Linked DNA regions of Coturnix japonica. The protein of the gene in region 1 interacts with the protein of each later gene in a pairwise test. Links are inferred from orthologs where the notes say so. Each region holds a gene or a part of one and is shown on either strand. Other genes may lie near its edges.

Region 1 (6,927 bases):
TGGATTGCAGTCATGACTTGGGTTATATCTTCCACTGATGCGCTGCTGCTCCACTCTTGCTTTCTCTCTTTCCTACTATGCTTACATCGTTGATTTCACTTATTGTCTCTGCCAACTCCCTCAGTTTCATGTGCAGAACATTTGTTCTTTGGACACCATCTCCCCTTGGTGGCTCATCTATAAATACAAGACAATGTCTGTTGCATGTCTTTGCACAGTTCTGCTATCACCACCATGTCAGTAATTAGTTAACAAGACAAAAGTGATGATCATGACATGGTCCATGTCAGGTAAGACTGGCTAACAGCTCCCCAGCTGTGCATTTTCCACGTTTATATGTCAAAGTTTCTGTCTTTATTTTGTTTCAGCTCACTTGAATGTATATATACATATACATATATATATATGTTGTTTCTAAATCTGTCTTAATCATTAACTGGTGGCACTCCAAGATATGAAGGGGTGGGTATTAGCTACAGAGAGCTCTATCAGGAGTCCCAGGAGGAAAATAAATTAACTAACTCTAAAGGAGGGTGACCAATTGCTCTTGAGGAACATTGAATTTGAGCATTACCCACATAGGCCAAAGCTATCTCACAAAAGACTAAAGGTTTTGCTTGCCTTGTACCCCATCTCTGTTACTGGCCTCCCAGGGATACCTATGGGAGACTGAATGAATCAAACAGGCGTCTGCAACACTTCCCCAGCTCATTTTCCTGGCTTCTAGTAATTTTCCTTTGAGGGATTCCTTCTCACCTTATCAGTACTGGGACAGAGGTTGTTTGGTCATCCAGGCCCTAATTGTAGGAAGAAGTGAGTAAAGAGGGAGTTTCCTGTAGACACAGTGAATGGGATGGGCAGCTCCATCCCACAGGTGCCAATTTGGGACACATGGAAAGTACTTGCTCTTGTAAACTATTCATAGAGCTCTTCTTTCCCGGAGGTTTGTGATGTATGCCTTGGGCATCTGGAGGTAGAGCCAGGGGAGCTGGTCACGTATGATCTTCAGGTCTTAGGAACTGTTTGCTAAACAGTAAACAAGAAGTTCTGCTGAACGGAATGCAACCAGCATTGACATTTTAATCTTAAAATTCCACCTTGAAATTTGTCTAAATTTGAATTTTGATTCGTCTGTCACTTTGTGCCTCATTGCAGTTCCACTGTAATTAGAAGGATGAAGGCAATAATTTGTTCCTATTTCATTGCTTTTCTTTCCCCCCCCCTTTTTGTGTGTGATTTGTGCAGTGCTGTTGTGTAAGCACATTATAAAGCAGAACAAAATAAAACTACTTATTCATAAAATCAAAAACATCTGAAGACTAGAAAGAATGAAGACATGGGGACAGTGGCTGAGGATGTCCAGATTTTTATTCAGAGCTCTGCCTTGAATCTGAATTCATCTTCAGAAAGAGGAATATGCTTAAGAAAAGGCATCTGTCAATTATTTAATGCTGTTCAGGTGTGTATTTGGTTTTATTCCCTTCAAATTAATTTAAATGCAGTTTAGGAAGCAGCGGTGCTTCAAGGGAAGAAGAAGAAAAAGGAGGAGGCAAAGCAGTGGGATGATTTTAAGTGCTCTTCTTTCAAGACTTGTGTCTGGGGACTTTGTTTCTGCCTCTGGATCGAATGCTGAGCAGCTGTAAGTCCGAGGAAGCCCCCTGGCTTACAGAATATGCTATCAGCAGCCTCTCAGCCCGCAGCATTCTGAGAGCACAAGGGTTAATCCGAGGCATGCACACACGTCCTGCCGCAATAAAGCCCGGAGCGATGAGACCTTTTGCTGCCGAGGATATTCTGGCTTTGTCTGTTGATTCATTTTGTCTGCAAAATCAAGCATGTAATGCCCCTTCTCCCTCTCGCTCCCCTTACGTCCCCGTTTCAGTCTCCCCCGTGACAGCTGATGTTCCTCTGCACTTTTACTGTAGGACGTGGGCTGGGGAGTCCCTGAGCGGCTGCTTTGAGCTGATCAAGAAACCCTGAGATTAGGTAAATTAAATAATTAAATATTAATAGAAATGAATCTATCCCTCAGCACACAGGAATCACGGCCGTGGAAAGCTTCCCCTTGCTGTGGTGTCCGGTTCTATTTACACCGCGGTCACGGAGGTGGGGAGCGATCCCTGCCTCAGTCAGCTCAGATCAGTGCATGTTGCTCTGTGTCTGTCCGTCCGCGATCAGGGTGGCATCCAAAATGTACTCGGTCCCCAGGAAACCAGCAGGAGAGACTTGTCTGTTTTCAAATGAAACAGGGATCTTTCCATCTCTGGAGCGTGGATTTAGTTATCAGCTCTGTTTACTACTGCTCATTGTCCCCCAGCTGCCACAGAGCTGTGTGCCGTAATTCAGCTCAGTGCTTCTCCTTTCAGCCCTCTGTCAGGCAGAGACCCCGCGACAGCCCTTGCTCCGACCCGAAGGATGAGGGATGTTAAATAGAGTGAGGGTAACATTCCCGGGGCTCTCCCAAGGGCTCTTCCGAGGGCTTGAAAAAGCCTCTTAAAAACAGCAGCAGAGATCGAAGGCAGTTAAGAGAGAGGGAGAAAAAAAAAGGAAGAAAAAACTTTGGCAAGCGTGCAGTGTCTTACATCAATCTAACAGTCAGCATCGATGTAGATGTTCTTTCCTCCTTTTGTGCAACACCCCTTCCCTCCTACAGACCACCCAAAGCCCTATAAATAATCCAAGGACCGTATTTTCTCTCCAGCTTTCTCTTCAGACCTCGAAGGGAAAATACCAGGCAGGGGAAAGGAACAGAAGAGAGAGAGGAGGGCAGAGAGAGAGGAGAGATGGCCAGTGAATTCAAAAAGAAAATGTTCTGGAGGGCAGTGGTGGCCGAGTTCCTTGCCATGATCCTCTTTATTTTTATCAGCATTGGCTCGGCCCTGGGTTTTAATTTCCCAGTGTCAGTCAACGGGACATCAGCAACTCAGGACAACGTGAAGGTTTCGCTGGCTTTTGGGTTATCCATCGCGACCATGGCGCAGAGCGTGGGCCATATCAGTGGTGCCCACCTGAACCCGGCGGTGACCCTGGGCCTCCTGCTGAGCTGCCAGATCAGCATCTTCAAGGCACTGATGTACATCCTCGCTCAGTGCCTGGGGGCAGTGGTGGCCACTGCTATCCTGTCCGGAGTCACCTCCTCTCTGCCTTACAACTCCCTGGGGCTCAATGCGGTAAGCTGAAACTTTGCTTTCCCCCCTTGACTCTTTTTCCCAGACTAGAAAGGTGAGGGCAACACCTGTAAGGATGTGTGTGATGTTGGTGGTAACCTCAGGCAGAGAGCTTGTCCTGACTGATGCCAGGATGCGTGCATTCACTGCTATCAGCTGAAGCACTATTTTAATCCTTTTCTTTGGTAAGAGATGCTGTAGGGATGGTCCTTCTGTTCTTTTTCAGAGCTTTATGGTCATTATCAGTTTTGCTCGTGTTCAGTTTTGCATATCCATGCTGCAGAAAAGTGACTTTTGGTACCAATGTAACATTGAAATCACTGATATTTGCATGGCTGAGTCTCTTTCCTGGTTCTGAAGGTCTCAGGTAACATGTCTTTGGCTTGTGATGCTGGTTAATGTGTATAAACTGGTGTTTTCACTTCTGTGAATGTGGCTCTTTTTCAATACCTCATTAATAGTTTGTGTAACCTGATAAGTGCAGTGTAAGAACCTACAGGACCAGTGAGAGATGGGTAGCAGGAGAAACGCTGTCACCAAAGGTGTGAGCATCATCTGTTGCATTTGGCACAGTGCTCTCATCCTGCCTGATGCAGAATCTTAGCTGCACTTTTCTTCTTTTTCCTACTCTTGCTGTGCAAAAATGGGGGGAAATATGAATTTCTCAGGTGTGGGTCAGAGGATGAGGTGAAGAATCTGCATTTTTGAGAGGTGCAGGTTTCAGCCCTCTCCCATCCAGGTGCTCACAGCTATTGTCCATTACAGCATACAAACAGCTGCCTGGTGGCAACCCCTCCTCTTTCACACGTTATTCTTTCTTGCTGTTGCCACTGGACTATAATGGGGCAAAAAGGACAGTCACCCTTTTCAACATGAAATCATCCCAGTATCAGCGCATGTCAGCAAGGCAGTATGCAGAGGAGTACTATAAATGGAAATTCCTTTCTGGTCACTTATCTCACCTGATTCTATTAAGAATGCTTATTTCATAGCTTTTCTATGCCCCCCTTCTTGCAGAATAGTTGATACAGTTTGAAACTTGGATGTATTTGAAATCTTAAGCCCACTGGGGCACAAAGGTCCAAGCACAATATCACTTCAGAAATCATTTTGGAGAAAAAAATAAATAAATAGAAAAAGACAAAGAAAAAAGTTTTAAGCATTTTGTGGCACGAGGAAGAGGAGCTTCTGAAAATACAGAAGCTGACATTAAGGAGGTCAGCGCCACCCATTTGTGCTGCTCTTTGTGTTGGCTGCTCACCTCCCTGCAGGGGTCTCACCCTGCCACCCATCTGGGAACTCCTGTGGGATCATCCAAAACATTTTTGGGGGAAGAAGAGGGAATCTTTTCATTAACTCCAGCGGGCTCTGGCTGCGTGTGTGAGACGTGATCCTTTCCTCTGAAACCACTGGCAGAGGGAAGTGCTCAACCGCATGGGACAGGGCACCCGCCCCGGTGGTTTCCTCGAGAGGTCTGGCTGCCAGCTGCCATGGAACGCGGGAGGTCTGCTTTCAGCAGCATTCCCATTTGGTCTTTGCCTTTTGCTTGCCACAGAGCACTAGTGGCTGGCTCCTTCCCTTGCCCTGAAGCTCCTGAAACTGGTTGTTTGCAAAGTGGGTGTAGGGGACCACCTCAAAAGCTTGCTCCGCTGTTGGTAATTCTTCAAGTTACAAAGATTTAAGTCAGATCTCTGCACAAGGGCATCCAAATAGAGAGAAGTCAGAGATGGAAAAATCACGCAGTGAATCTCAAAAACTGCATTCAAGAGTGCAAGCCCTGCCCCTCCCTCTGGAATACATTCAGTGCACCTTTTTTAATACCATAAAATCAGTGGTAGGAGAATGTATACTCTAAGTCTCCTCCATGCTTATTTTACAAATCTGGCAACACTTTTTGCATGTGGATTGGTGGATGAAATCATTCCCAAATGCTGTGAAAAGCCCTGGTCTTGTTATTGTCAAACACTCAGAGTTTTGATCTTTTATATTCTATTTCCCATCCAGCAATAAATGTTCTGGATAGAAGAGAGCGGGGGGAGGACATCTCAGGAGATAGGGAGAGCAGCAGCTGTTCTTTTCTCCTGTAAGAAGGAATTGGTGAGGAAAGCAAATCCATTCTTTTCCCACTCAGCTGGGACCAGCTGGGGAGGGGAGATGAGGGACTGAGGGGGCAATGGGTCTGAGCCCAGCATGGGGACAACAGAACAGCTGTCCTCACACAAAGCTGATCCCCACAGGGCACATCCTGAAGTCACATTGCACTGCCTCCTTCAGCAAACAGAGCATAAGGGGATGCCGCAGAGACTTGCTTTTATGTCATGCTTGCTTTTCAAGCTGAGGACAAGGAGGGGAGAGGCAGAGCTGGCGTTCCTGATGCCTATTCTGTCTTCTTGTCCTTCCAGTAGAAAATGAGGTATAGACTCACTACTGAGATAAAGAATAGAAAGAAAGGGAGTGCTCCATTTTGGCAAGGTTTGGGAAGGTGGCTTGGATATGCACGACTGCTTCCTCTGTTCAGGCCTTGCCGTGGACTTGAAAGGGTGTTTTTTTGTTTTATTTTTCTTTTGCAAGAAAACTGCAGTGGGAACGATTTAATTGAGACAGTGGCAACCCAGTGCTCTCACTGATGCTGGGTTATATGGGTGGGATAAATTCTGGTTTATCCTGCTCAAGTGCAGCTCCTTCACCAAGGGGCCATAGAGCTGTTACCAATTCTTTAGGTTCCATGCCATCTCATAGAGAGGAGAGACAAAGAAAGGTATTTCAGCTCTTAGACCCTCTCTGTTGTCCTATAGAGAGACCCAGATTTCCTCTTTTACTGTAGAGTAAACTCAGTATGATGAGGCTTCAGCCTTGGGAACCTTGATCTATCTGTGTCTTTCTTGTTGCCCAAAGGGAAAAGGGAAATGCAAGCAAAAACAGAGCACAGAAAACAGGCATGGAAGGTACAGGGCTGAAGAGAGAAAGAGAGCAGGAAAAACCAGGATGCTACTTTATTTAATATGGAGGTCTGTTTTATTATTAGAGACAAGAAAAACTGTCCCATATGAGGACTTAAATCTAAACTGTAGTCAATGAATATTTTTTTAACTTTTGGCTGGTTCTAAGTAAGAAATTCTGGAAAATATTCAGAGAGGTACTTGGATGACTGAATCCTTCTAAGACATAACTTCCCATGTATTTCAGTAATAGCATAGCAGCCAAAGCAAAAACTTTGAGCACTGAAAAAACAGAGCGAGTAGTATTCAGTGTTTGTTGTTATAAAAATTTGAATATTTATACTTGTATCATCTAGTATCTTTTTCCTTTTTTGGCAACTGCATTACTTCATTTCACAAGCCTCCATTAGGTAAAAAAGAATAGAGATAACATAATCCAAAGTGCATTCATCTGCCAACAGAGTTGGCTATTGTCGAGTGAGGACAGATCTGTAGTTTGGATAGTGGAAGAAACTACTCATCATGGGCAATTAATGGCCAACAAAGAGCTCAAGCAGGAAAGATGGGTGAGAGGAGACGTCTGACCTGTAAGGTAACACAATATTTGCTGTTCAGCAATGTTTATCATGAGAACTGTCATCACGCAATTAAAAACGTGCTGAGCAAATTCATCTCTCTTTCTTTGTTGTTTGTTTGCTTCATTTTGTGAGAAAATATTCATTTTCTGAAAAAATGCAGACACTCCTTTGCAGATTAATAATTTTCAGTAGTTTCTGCATTTCTATATACTGACTTAAAAGCCAGGAACTCTGCTTCCATAA
Region 2 (6,927 bases), on another chromosome or scaffold:
GTTAACACACCAGAGGGATAGGATGCCATTCAGAGGGACATAGGCAGGCTGAAGAGTGGGCCCAGGTAAACCTCATGAGGTTCAACAAATCCAAATGAAAGATCATGCACCTGGGTCAAGGCAACCCCCATTATCAATACAAACTGCGGGATGAATAGATTGAGCACAGCCCTGCTGATAAGGACCTGGGGGTACTGGTTGATGGGAAGCTGGATGTGAGCCAACAACATACCCTCACAGCCCAGAGAGATGATTGTATGCTGAGCTGCATCAAAAGCAGTGTGGGCAGCAGGGTGAGGGAGGAAATCTGCCCCTCTGCTCTGTGCTGGTGAGGCTTCACCTGGAGCACCTCGGGATAGGAGGGATGTGGACCTCTTGAAGTGCATCCAGAGAAGGGCCGTGAAAATGATCCACAGAATAGAACACCTCTCCTATAAGGGCAGGCTGAGAGAGCTGGGGCTGTTCAGCCTGAAGAAGAGGAGGCTGTGAGGTGACCTAAGAGTGGCTTTTCAGTATCTAGCAGGGAGCAACAGGAAAGAAGGGAACAGACTCTTTAGCAGGGTCTGTGGTGACAGATCAAAGGGAATTGGTTTCAAGGTAGATTTTGGGTAGATATAAGGAAAAAGTAATTTATACTGAGGGTGGTGAGGCACTGGTTCCAGTGCCCAGTGATGTGGTTGATGCCCGTCCCTGAAGACGTTCAAGGTAAGGCTGGATCAGACCTTGTGCAACCTGATGAAGCTGTGTTGTCCCTGTGCATTGCAGGGTAGTTAGGCCAGATGTCCTTCAGAAGTCCCTTCCTACGTTAAGGATTCTATGATTTTAAAATAAACAGCTCACTCCTTGTGAGGTTGCATCATAAATGAATAAGATGGTGTGAGAGCAAGGAAGTATTTTCTGTTTTCTGTTGGGGAAGCTGAGGCTCAGAATTAAACAACTTGCCTAAGAGCAGAAGGGCTGACTTGCCAAGAGCCAGATTCCAGTCTCCTGAGTCAGAGCCTTGTGCCTTATCCACAAGACCAACCTTTCCCTTGTAGCATTTCCTTTCTCTCCACCCTGTTTTGAGGCGAGGAACAGTAGCATTGTTCTATGTCAAACAAATTTAAAGCATAATACAGGAGTGCTCCCAGCAGAATGGCTGGAACAACCTTTGAGTTTATTATTAATCTGGAAGCCATGACTTTTCTTGGAATGGCTTCTGCATTGGAACCCTCCTCAGCAGGAGCAATAACCACAAAAGCTTTAACCACTAAAAGACCTGCCAGTCTTTAAATAAGAGGCTTTTGAGAGTAAAAAAAATAGTAATTAGAAACAAGAAAAAAACCAAAACACAACCACACAACACATGCTTAAAACAATAAAAACTTTTCAAAAGGCATGGCTGGAAATTACGATTCAGGGGAGTGTGTGAGACATGAAATATCTGTCAAGAAAGCAGGACTTCTAACGTGGTTCCATAAGTGGTCAGGATATTTATTTTTAAAATTGATGCTTTTTATTCATAGTACATAGTACTATGGATACTAGGAGAGCCTAGTTCTGTAAGTGCCTTAATGCCTGCTTGCATACTTAATCAGGCTGGTGACAAGTGGCTTATCTTTGATATTTCAGGTAGCTGGGAAGAGAAAATAAAGGCTTAAGTTTGCCTTTGCTGCTCGGTGGCAGAGCAGGCTTCAGCAGACTTGATTATGCAATGCCTGTGCTAAGCATTACTAAAGGGCCATTATCTTAGGGTTGACAAGTATCCTGTCAATCACTCTGTTTTCTTTCGCTGTAGGAATTGTTTTTGGGTTTGTTTTTTTTTCCCCCACTCTGTCCTTTTCTCTTGCTGCCCCTTAACATCCTGGGGTTGTTCAGCCTGGAAAGAAAAGGCTTCAGGGAGACTTCATCGCAGCCTTCCAGTATTTAAGGGCAGTTTATGACATGAGGGTAATCAATTGCTTACACAGGTAGATAGTGATAAGACAAGGGGAAATGGTTTTGAACTACAGGAAGGGAGATCTAGATGACTAGATGTCAGGGGGAAGTTTTTTACTGAGTGGTGAGGTACTAAAACTGCCCAGAGCGGCTGTGAATGCCCTGTCCCTGGAGGTGCTCAAGGCCAGGCTGGATGGGGCCCAGAGCAATCTGATCTGTTACTCGATCTAGGGGCTAGCAAACTTGCCTGTGGCAAGAGGGTTGGAATCTGATGAACCTTGAGACGTTCTATGATTCTCTGCCAGATTAGGAAGCTGAATTCCTTGCAGAATTTCTTACAGCAGTCTCAGTGTTAACAGGGTCAGCTGATAGAAAGCAAAAAAAGCAGGAGCGAGGACTCGTCTTTGGATAAGTGGAGAAAAACGGGATCATAAACCACTTTAACTGGAAGACAGGAAGTGAAGCACTGGATCAAACTGGTCTAAGAATTCTGGTATCTTGCCTCTGGCTACACAATAGCCAGCTGACAAAAATAAGTGATGCACCTGGCTTTTGTTATGCAATGCTACAGGAGGGGAATTCCGTCCTATTTGCAAAGATCTGCACATGCCCAAAGTTATGACATGTTCTTAAGCTTTCTGTCAGTTGCTGACTGGGTTTCTGTGATTACTAGTACTACCCTGCACTTCCCAAGTTTGCGTCACTCTCATGGGGATGATCCCATGCCATAAATTCAGCTTGAGGCAGAGTAAAACTGTACAGGGTTGTCACTGGAGTAGAGCATCGTATGCTTTCATGATTTTGAGTAGGGCTTCATTTATTTGGTTTGGTCTTTTGCCTTAGAAGGCTTCTCTCTTGCTGTGCAACTTTCCCCTCATCTAGGAATATAAGCATATGGCAAAAGAGCTACACTGGGTTTGTTTTGTCCCAAAGATATGCTCTTTGCTATGCATTTATTTGTGTCTACTACTGCACAGAGAGAAATGGGCAAGAAATTTCCGCTTGCCCTGTCCTTTCTCCAGTCACTTTGTTCAGGGATTTCCTGAGCCAAATCCATCGTATTCCATTGGTAGGTGCAAATAGATTTGACACAGTGAAGCACTTCTATTGCTGGCTTTACTCTTGCTTAATTAAAGCTTGTTTTCACTTTAGAGGAATATAGATTGAATTGAATTCTTTTGGACGTGAAGAAGTACACCTCTCTTAACTTTTCCTTAAAAAATAAGACCACAATGAACCATAAAGCAACAGCTCGTGTCATAGTGTCACAGATATCGCCGTGTGTTAGCTAATTCCTCAGTCTCTGAAGTAGTCCTGAGGAATACCTCTGGTAGCCTGTTCCTGCAGGCCCGAAGACTTACACATCAAAAGAACTGGGTACTGATGTTTTAGTCATAACAGATGGCGGTTCTATTGCTTGGAAAATTGCCTTCCACATCAGCGTACGCCGTGTACCCTTGTAACATCGTTTTCCTTATGAACAGGGCTTCTGCTCTGAGGAACAAAGTTCCCCAGGTGCCTCTGTCTGAGCTTATTCAGCAGTGCTGTGTTTAGGGCAGCACCGAGCTGTGTCCTTCCAGTCTCAAATCGAACGAACCAAGCCGGACCGGCCCAGCCCCCGGCTCGCACCGCTCCTCCACCGCGCCCAGGCCGAGCCGCCGTCCCGCGCAGGCCCAGGCGCTGCGGGGGCGGGCAGGGGGCGGGCCGCGCCAGGTCGGGAAATTCCCCCCGGAGTAGGGCGGCGGGCGGGGGGAAAGCGGGCTTGGTGTCGTCGGTGTGAGGAGCGGCCCCGGAGGGCAGTCCGCGGCGGCACGGCCCGAGCGGCGGCGGAGCTGTCAGCATGGCGGGTGAGCGGCGGGGCGGGCGGAGAGCGGGGCGGCGGTGGGGAGCGGGCCGCGACTCAGGCAGCGCCCTGCTGCACGGCTGGGGAGCCGGCCCCGGGGGAGGCACGGGGCAGCGCTGAGACCGGCTGCCGCCCTGTTCGTGAGCAGCTCCTCTTCCGTCGCGTTCCCTCCGGCCGAACCCCGTCGGAGGCTTCCGGCCGAGGAAGGAATATCGTGAGGATGTTCATATCGGTGGCAGCGACGCCGTCCTGAGACCGTCACGTCTCAGAACGGGGCTTAGAATTCTTAAATCGGTGCTGCTAAAAACGTTTGGGTGTTCAATAAGTGCTGGTGTGGCGGATCTGGGGCAGGGCCGTCAGCAGGCAGGAGCCATGCGGTGCCTGTCCCGTGGGCGCTCGCTGCCGGGAGGATGCAGCTGCGTAAGGAACATGTCATAAGTGCGGAGCAACAGAGATAAGGGATCTTCTTTGGGCAATTACGTTTAAAAGCATAATCAGGTTGTTGGTTTTATCTTTTTAAGGCTAAGTTAAAACTCACATATCGCCCTTTCAGAAGGTGTTCCTTAGCTGTCTCTTTCAGGCTGGGCAGCATTAGTTGGCGTTATGGGAAGGAGGCTCTCTGCTCTCAGCACCAGCGCTGTGTGCTCTGCTACCCTTAGCAAAGTACAAACTTTCACTCCTGTCAAGCGTGTGCTTGAGAAGGCTGAACTGAAGCAGGAGCTAGTGCTTTCTTCTTGCCCTGAATGTGTTTTCAGTGTAATTAGGAACTAGATAAGGATTTTTTCAGCAGGGGAAGTTCACAACTTCCTGGTACTAGCCAGCTTGTGTCATTGTTTTTTTTTTCTTTCTCTGTTGGTTGTTGTTCTGTAAGGTCGTACGATAGTAAAGAGGAAGTTAGTGAGCCGTTTTGTTGTCGTGTTACGATCTGTGCGGTTCATGGGTTCCGCAGTGGATTACTGCTCTAAAATAAAATGGTGAGTGCGCTTGGGGTTAGATGAGATTGAAGCAGAGTGTTCTATGACAAACCTTCCACCAACTCTTCTTCCTGAGTTCCTCTAAGAGGCTGAGTGCAAGTAGGGCAGGAATGTGCAGGCAGTTGCTGCTGCTGCTCAGAAATGGCCGTTGCTGTGGAGGACAGAAGGGCAGCAGTAATCTCTAAGAAGGTGTGACATCAAAGCTGAAGGGCAACACTTCTTGCTTCTGTGTTTCACTGCTGTCACCTGAGATCATCAGAGTTTCGGGTGATACTTTCACATCTCCCACAAAGACCCACAGCTGCTTTGCTTTCAAGCTTGGTGATTGCTGGAGAGTATGTTCACAGGGTACTACTCCTGGTCATGCAGGAGAATGGCAAATCATATAGTCCTCCTGAAGCATTATTCCTTTGAGCCAAGGAGTAACATGGGACGGACGGGACCCATCGTCCTTCTGGTGGTAGTGTCTTACAGCCGTGTTCCTCCCTGGTGGCACAGCCATGTTTAGCTTCAAACTCATCATGGAGAGGTCTTTGAGTCTGTTGTTCCTTTCTTATTACTCTAACAGATTAAGCAACCTTCTACGCTTAAATAGGAGCACGAGCTGGCTGTGTTCTTGGTGCTATTACTGACCTTACTTAGTCTCTTTATGTAGTTGAGATTTGGTCTCTTGTATTTCCTTTAAAATTGTTTATTGTAGAATTCAGAGCATGGGGGCAACAAGCAAGTAGGTAATAGAGATAGCTGTGTGTTTCTTCAAAAACTAGTGAAGGAGGAGAGCCTTAGGCATGGCTCGTAGTGGTCTGACAAATGTGTGGAAAGGAGCTAGTAAGCTGTAAGGACTGACAGCTCTCTGTGTGCGAGTGTAGGTTGTGAAATAGTTAAACCACAGCACTTCACAAGCACATTGCTCATTTACAGAAATAGGGAACGCCAAACAGACCTCCACTTCACTTCAGAGTGCTGATAATACCTTTGGCTCATGCTGATACTTTCATGTGTTTCCTCTATGCAGAAAACATAATGACAGTGACAATTGTGGTAGAGATGATAATGTGATACTTAAACAGAGAGAGTGAGAACCAAGATTGAAATGAATTTGAATGTTTAATCTCTGGAGGCTGCCGTGTCACAGATTTGCTTTTCCACAGACACACACCTGCAGTCAAGCAGTGGGTTTGCTTTCAGTGACACTTGTTTCAACCACAGTCCCAACACAATCGTTGAGCACAGAGTTTTAAAATAAAGTGCTCTGAACAGGGAAGAAAAAGAGTCCTCATAAGCAAGTGTTAGTAGAGCACGATGGGAAATTGATGCTTAAAGCAGAGAGGATTAAAGACTTGAAGCGATTCTGTTCTGCAGTAACTTCTAACAGAAAGGCTCTGCCTCGTCTTGGCAAACACGTGGGCGTATGGTGCGTCTGGTTAGCAGCTTTGTAAGCATGTGTACCTCCAAAGTAAGATGATTAGTAGGTACTTTGCTACAATTTTGTCATTATAGTGTCTAAAATAGATTTTTAATTTAGTAGATGGATATGTGTCTATGTTTGTGGTACGGTGTTACGTAGGAATGGAGAAGTGAGATTCTTCTCCCTCTTCAATTACGTGATGGAAGTGGGAGGCTGACTGGTACGCTGCCATTGCTCCTCACTGCTGGCAGAAGTTGCCTGTTGCCTTGTCCACTGGGTTGTCCTGAACAGGATAACATAAGTAAATGTGAGTGAAGTTATAAAGCTGTATGCTGGGGAGTGAGCTTGGCTCTGGGAACTCAGACTTCTCATCTCCTGAAACCAACTTTATGTCATGTCTCGGCTTTTTTGTTACTAGTGTCCATCATACCCACTTTTGCTGGCATCACTTATTTTCCAGAAGGAGAAAAGGAACAAAGCTTACGTAAAGGGAAGGCTAGAAAAGATTTGGCAAGTGCCTATGGAAGTGGCCATACCTGTAAAGGAACTGGACCTTGAGCAGTGTCTATGCATGCTTGATGTGACAGCTCCTTGTTTGTTTTGAGACGCTGGTTTAAAATCAGTAGTAGATGATCAGTTGAGATACTGCATTCTGGTAAATTGTTATAAAAGAACGTGTAGAGTCTTAAACTGCTCTTCTCTAATGCTTGGAACAAAACACAACCTGGAGTTGAAATGCTTTATGGCTTTTTAAGAAAGTGTTCCTTTTGAAGAGGCATGTGTTG
Region 3 (6,827 bases), on another chromosome or scaffold:
ATCTTTAAGATATCAACATACTTTTGCATATCTGTCTCCACTTAGAATAATTGTGAGCCTCACTGTTTGATAGAACCTAGATATTCAAAATTAGAAAATCATTGGGACTAGGAAGGAGGATTTTTATTTATTTATTTATTTATTTATTTTCTTGGTTGCTTGTTTTCTCTCAATTGAATACACGGGGAATGGCCAGTGAAGGGAATTTATCTTCTTACTACTTTCCACTTCTTAAGCTTTATTATTGGAACCAGTTTTCCTATACCTTTGTTATTCAAAATGCACATTAGTAATAGGGACTGTGGTTTTTCTCTGTCAGTACCATGGTCCAGAACACTCATAAAGAGCATTCACAGAAAAGTAAGTGATGCAAGTTACCAGCTCAAAGTCAACAACAAAACAAAAACACCTCACATAAAGGAAGTCTCTTCTTGTAATAGACTTGTTTCTAGTAACATGAAGGTAATAGGAGCCTTTCAGTTGAGAGGACAGTAACTTTTATATTTTGGAATGAAAAAGAAATTCGAGCTAGATGAAATCGTAAGGGGATGCCACATATTAAGTTCTTTATCCAAGCCATCTACTGACACCATATCCAAGAGACACAAAAGGGAATGTTCATAAAGAACCAGTCTAGGATTGGTAGAATACCAATACCTCATCAATTCAGAATTTCTTATCTTCCTTATCTTTATTGTTACTAATATTACTCATGATTTACTAAGTAAACTCACTCCAAATGTGACCTCTGACTTTTTGTCCAACTTTCAGTGGATAAACTGTCAGTTTCTAAAAAAGTCATACATGCTAATGCCACATGTTAATTAATATTCACCAATATTACAGGAAAAAAAATTGTTATCAAAAAATCTCTTTCCAAATTCTGGACATAAATTTTAGGGGTAGGAGTGAAAAATTATACTTGAAATACATTTATAGCATTTGAAAATTTGCATTATTGTAGTAATTGCTTTAAACTAACATTCTCTAGACAAAATAAAGTGTTGTACTACATTGCAGCCTCACTGTTAGGAATGAAGATAGAGGAGACAATGCAGGAAGGCCAACACATACAACCAAAATGGAAAGCATCCAAGTCATAGAAGAATGGTAAGTTGGTGAAACTTTATTTATTAATTTATTAATTTATTTTTATTTACCTGTAACTAATTTACCTTAGTTTTTTTTAGACTTCTAAAATGAAGCAAAATCAGATTTGCCATGTAATGCTATCAGTGATATTTAGCCTTACAGATAGTTTCACATTTATGGATACAAAGCAATGGGGAGGAACAGAAGGCATGTGAAAATGGCTTAACTGATCCATGGGCCTCTGCTGTTTGTAGAATCATTTTCTTCTACTTACCCAGTCAAGAAGTAAAACAAACTTGGGCAAAAGTATATTTTACAGTTAGATTTTTTAACATGCTTAATTTTTGTACATCAGCTTGTTTTATGGTTTTACCTGAATTGACCCAGGAAATATGTGTCTTGAAAGACAGATGTATATATACTGAAAGTCTGAGCCTGTTTCTGTTTGAAGATAAGGCAAATATTTTTTTGTGTTGGGGAAAAAAAGCTAAACTTGTGGCTTTAAGTTCTTTAATCCCATAAAAGGTACATTAAAACTTAATTCAGGAAGACGTTATTGAATTTAAAAGCAACACAAGCAAAATATCTCAGTACCACCATTGCTTTTCATGATCAGTTTTGAAAGGATAAATAAAAACGTTCCACAAAATATGAAAGCACTATAGACTTTTCCCCTTACTGACAGAGAACACGTGGTGAATTGATTTGACAGATTTTTTTCTTTCTTTATATGAGAATGTCTTAATTGTTTATATCCTCCAGTTATATTATGTTGAACTTTGGTGCAGCTGAGCACTCTGGAATTCAAGTCACTTTAAAAGAATTTACAGAAGCACTCCATCATGATGAATGTGTTTACTTCATGACATTCCCTGCTGGGATTAAATGTTTCACAGGTTTTAACGCGGCAGCCTTGTAGCTTTGCTATGCAAAGAAAGTACAAAGCTTAGTGAAACAGCTCACTAATGGTCCAGATCTTGAAATCTGGGGAGTTTCTCAACATCATTGTTGGTGGTAGGCAGAAGAATGGAAGACTGAAAGGTCTGTCCATGGAATATTAAAAGAGCGCATGTGGTTTCACATGAAGAAGTCGTGGTTAATTCAAAGCTGTGAATTAACAGCTCCCTGCCTTCAGAGAAGATTTACCTTCTGTGCTGTCTCTGCTCCCTCCTCTTCTGCCTCCCCACCACTAACTGTACTCCAGATGATATTAATTCAGCTCTTTCTCTTGAGCTGATTCAGGCAGAGGTAGCAAGTAGAGATTGTTTAGGTAAAAATTAATTCTAAACTACTTAATTCACCTCGACTATGATATAAAACTTCATCTTGCATAACTTAAGGTCCTTCTGTAAGCCAATGGAGAAACCAGTAACTCTAGATCATAACACAGGGCAGCTGAATTTAGCCTATGTCAAAACCTATAGTTTCCTATAGTGAAACTTAAATAGCTGTTATCACTTATGGTTAGTGTTACAGTTTGTCTAAACTTGTCAAGTCAATGGGACAATGTACTCTGTGAATCAAACTTTATTTCATGAACTTATTAGACAAAATTCAAACAAGGGCCAAGTATCCTTTAAAGAGGCTAGTCTAACTCATGCAGATCCTGAGTCACTGCTTCATTCATTAACTCACAGATTCACCAACTTGCAATTCCATCAACTCATACACCAGTAAGAAGTAGTTACCTGGGGAGAGTGCTCATGCCTTTTGCTCCATCACTGTATAGGCATCCCCTAACCTCAGGTGTGCAGCTGCTCACAGATCCACTTCAAAAGCTTTTGGGGTAAGGTGATGTGTTTATACCTTGTTTTGTCTACACCAGCTCTTAAGTTAGTGGATTCTGCAGAAACTGCTCATTACTGATGCAAAAAAAATGGAGGAGGTTTGAGCAGAAGGTTGCAATGGCTGCAGAATGGCTCTTGCCTTGTCCTGTCCTTAGTGTCCCGTTTTGTATGATGTACTCCATTTGTAACTGAATGGAGCTGCTCTCAGCAAACATCAGGCCTGTTCTGTGTGTCAGGACTATACCTGAGCAGGAGGTGAGAGAACATCCAGAGGTTTAAATTAAATATCCTATTGCAGTCCCAACCTCTTCTTTCGTGTACCTAGGAACAAGGAACGTTTAGTTCAGCACTGCCGTGGTGCAGCATTTAGGCTGCCTTTGATGTCTAATAAATTCAAGACCTCAACAAAGGAGTTTTCTCCTACTTCACAAGATCAAGATAAGTTATTTAGACATAAGTGAGCTTTAGTTTATCAAATTGGACAGTCTGCGTGATTTTCTTTTTAAATTAATCTACTTGTATAGCACAGGGCTGTACTTCACAAATCTCCTCAGGAAACTGTCATTTTGGAGAGGGAACAGGAAATCCATTTTTAATGAAATGACATGTCTTACAGATGTAAAACATCTTAATAGATTAAACTCTATCAAACTGCCTTATTCTGTACTTTTTTTGTTCACATATTCTTATATTCATCTAACTGCAGTATTTTCCAAATTGATAACTAGGCAACATGGGTTGCTTGTCAGCTCCACCCCTTCCAGCAGGTTCATTTCTCTTTCCTCAGAGAGTGAGGACTTTTCACCATAAAATCTGCATGTTTATGCTTTTTAGTTTTGCTGCTTAGTTTAAATGTTAAAAACTTTCTCATTTATTAGATCTTTTAGTCTGCCAAAAAAGTGTCATAAATAGCTTCCTGACACCCACTCTGTCTTGCATGCAGACTACGAATTGAAAAATGAACTTGAAATTATATGGGCAAATGGCATTTATTGTGCAACATGATTACAAAGACAGTGTTAACAGCAGACTGTAAAATTCTTGCATTGTATCTTATCAGGAAGGGGAGGATGAGCACTCAGAGTTAAGTGTGAAACTGTACTTAACTGTTGTTAAGAAATTTGAATATGACCTTCTCAGACTGTTCGTTTGTACATTATGGATTAGTGGCACAAATTGGTTTTCTGTTCACTCATCCTGTGCATCCGCTGGTACAAGCCGTAAATAGCCTCCTTCAGAAAATGGGAATAAGTTGGTTTTTTTTTCCCATTTCTTCTCTCTCCAGTTTTGCCAGAAACATCCATCACATCTTGTGCCAGTAGATCATCATTCAGGTCAATAGCACCAAACACAGAGAAGCTTAGCAACCCCTAGGTACAAGCACAGAGAAATATGCTAATTTAAAGGCTCTCTGAATTACTATTTTGTTGGCCCTCATTAGTATGCCCTTGGCTGCCAAGAGCCTTTTGTTTTTCTTGTCCTTGCTGAACCAAATTGTGTGGCAGGCAGAGATTGGCCAAATCCTATCAGAAGCAGGCAGAGATATCAGGTGTCCCTCAAGCCTGACAGGAGAGAGAACCTACTGTCAGCTGTCTCACATCTCCTTTAACTACGGGGTAGGAATTCTCTTCTGTTATTGGATTTTTCTTTAGTCTGATGGTGAACAGTACAAGTAAAAAACTTGCAGAAAGCCAAGTGCATGTCTCTTAATATTAAACACATTTAGTGGCCTATTGAGATAATGAATGAGCAAGTGAAGTGAACAAAATTCTCCTGTCACTTCTGAAGCTTTGTTGATTCTAGTTTTCACTCTGGGCTGAAGTGCAGTGGAAAGGAGAAATTTTGGACAATTGTATGAAAACACTGTTACAAAAATAGAAACATATTTGTAATGATATCTTCCTTCTGCAGCCAAAACCCGACTGCAGATGAAATTCTGTCTTGGGCTCAGAATTTTGACAAGATGATGAAAACACCAGCTGGGAGGAACCTTTTTAGAGAGTTTCTTCGAACAGAGTATAGTGAAGAGAACCTGCTTTTCTGGCTTGCATGTGAAGATCTAAAGAAGGAACAGAACAAGAAAGTTATTGAAGAAAAAGCAAGGCTTATATATGAAGATTACATTTCTATACTTTCACCAAAAGAGGTAACGCTGTAAATGTTAGATTGAATTCCTTTCCTATTCCAAAACAGACATGCTATACTCTAGATTGCCAGAAGGGGTCGAAAAGTATGCACAGTCTCAGATGAAAACAATTCTCGGTATAGGAAATAAAATGAGAAAGGGAGGGACTGCACAAGTGCTGACATAAGCTGAGCTGCTTAGTATCACTGGCCACAACTCCTCAAAGCTCTCACTACAAGAGGAATGAAGGGGAAATTCCAGAAACAGAAGGGTGAGAAATAGGAATGCTTCTTTAGTAATGCAACTTGCTTGCCAAAGACACAAAGTACATCATGAAAATGGATTTCTGGAGGAAAAAAAAATAAATAAATTCAGCAACATATGACAAATAAAATAATATTTAACAGGAAACAAATCGTGGAATAGATTCACAATTAGTGCCTTGTAAAACACAGTGGGATTAAAATCAGAATAATGACAGATTTATCTGCTGCAAGAGCTGTCTGGGGAAAAAAAAGCAAAAATTGCTTTGGTTATCCCTAGATACCATCAAATAGTCTAAGAATTGTGATCGCGTATTTTCTCTAATGAAAGGTGGGATAATACCCAGGAAATTATATACAGTTTTCTTCAGTGTCCAACTGAAATTATCTTCAGCATCAAATCATGGTTTGGAACAGACAAATATATAAACATACAATAAATAAATAAATAAATAAATAAATAAATATCCAGGCATTGTAGAAGAGTTTCTTGGGCTATGTCACGTACCTTTAGCAACTCTTCTTTGTTTCTGTATGTGTTAATTTATGCTTACTTGTGGACCTTGCTTGCTACATTTTACCTCTGCTTTTAGTAAATTTTTGCAATTTCATTCTTGTGAATGAAACCAACAGCCATTTAAAATTCCCTTACATTCTCTGTGACATAGTGTATGTTTTAACTTTGGAGTGAGATAACTGCCAGTACAGCAAGCTACTGTATTTCTGACAGTGTATATATATATATCTAGTAGGCACATATTTACTGTACGTCCTGTTGTCTTCCAAAGCCAATATGAACCAGCAGTTAAGACTAAAGCAGTCTTTTGGGACTTAGGATTTAACAGAACTGCTCACATAATTCATTCCCTAGGAATGCAAGGATGTCATTAACCCAACTGCTTCTGCCCCTACTGGAAACCGTATGAGGCAAATGAGAACAGTTTGCAATGCTTTAGATCAGAATGGGAGCTTTAAAGTTCTCGTTCATCCCAGCATCCTATTCTGGATGAAACTTTGGCATAGGAGCTGAAATATTCAGCCTTGTTCAGTGATGAAGTCACTGAGGCAGAATGTCCCAGTGTGCTAAACAAATACCTTGCACACATCTATTTACCAAAGAGATAACTTGAATAATTGCAATTAATCTTGCCATATGGCTTTAGTGAGTCACTGAAAAACTACAATGTGAATTAAGAGATCCATAATTAATTTGTTTCATTCTATAATGGCAATTAATTTTTACAGTATTCAGTGGCAAAGGAACACCACTATCCTGCCAAATGTGAGCTTTCTTGTCCAAGCCATTTTGCTTGGTAATGAAGAATCGATTGGCTAGCCTCATGAACTGGTCTTGTTAAGATCTGTGACACATTCAGAGGAGAATGCTGAATAGGAAACTTCGTGAGGGTCATTCAACATTCCTTTGTGAGAAATATTTCAAAATATGTAAAAAGTAAAACATTTCAGTGTGTAAGAACTTATTTTGGGAAATCCAGGTTACTGCAGAACTTTATTTATTAGCACTAGTATTGTTAAATAGAGGCATTTCATCTTACAGCT

What was found.
Region 2: the proteins of AQP1 (region 1) and REL interact in binary tests that used the Homo sapiens proteins (3 or more experiments, as listed by UniProt). The link is inferred for Coturnix japonica from reciprocal best matches to the Homo sapiens genes AQP1 and REL.
Region 3: the proteins of AQP1 (region 1) and RGS17 interact in binary tests that used the Homo sapiens proteins (3 or more experiments, as listed by UniProt). The two-hybrid records come from large-scale screens. The link is inferred for Coturnix japonica from reciprocal best matches to the Homo sapiens genes AQP1 and RGS17.

The regions. Positions count from the first base shown.
Region 1 is NC_029517.1:951,552-958,478, forward strand, and holds the start of AQP1 (aquaporin-1), read left to right. Parts: upstream 1-2,705; 5' UTR 2,706-2,783; coding exon 2,784-3,170; intron 3,171-6,927. UniProt on the Homo sapiens protein: Forms a water channel that facilitates the transport of water across cell membranes, playing a crucial role in water homeostasis in various tissues.
Region 2 is NC_029518.1:5,507,711-5,514,637, reverse strand, and holds the start of REL (proto-oncogene c-Rel), read left to right. Parts: upstream 1-3,621; 5' UTR 3,622-3,757; coding exon 3,758-3,764; intron 3,765-6,927. UniProt on the Homo sapiens protein: Proto-oncogene that may play a role in differentiation and lymphopoiesis.
Region 3 is NC_029518.1:44,753,059-44,759,885, reverse strand, and holds part of RGS17 (regulator of G-protein signaling 17), read left to right. Parts: intron 1-1,020; coding exon 1,021-1,110; intron 1,111-4,790; coding exon 4,791-5,025; intron 5,026-6,827. UniProt on the Homo sapiens protein: Regulates G protein-coupled receptor signaling cascades, including signaling via muscarinic acetylcholine receptor CHRM2 and dopamine receptor DRD2.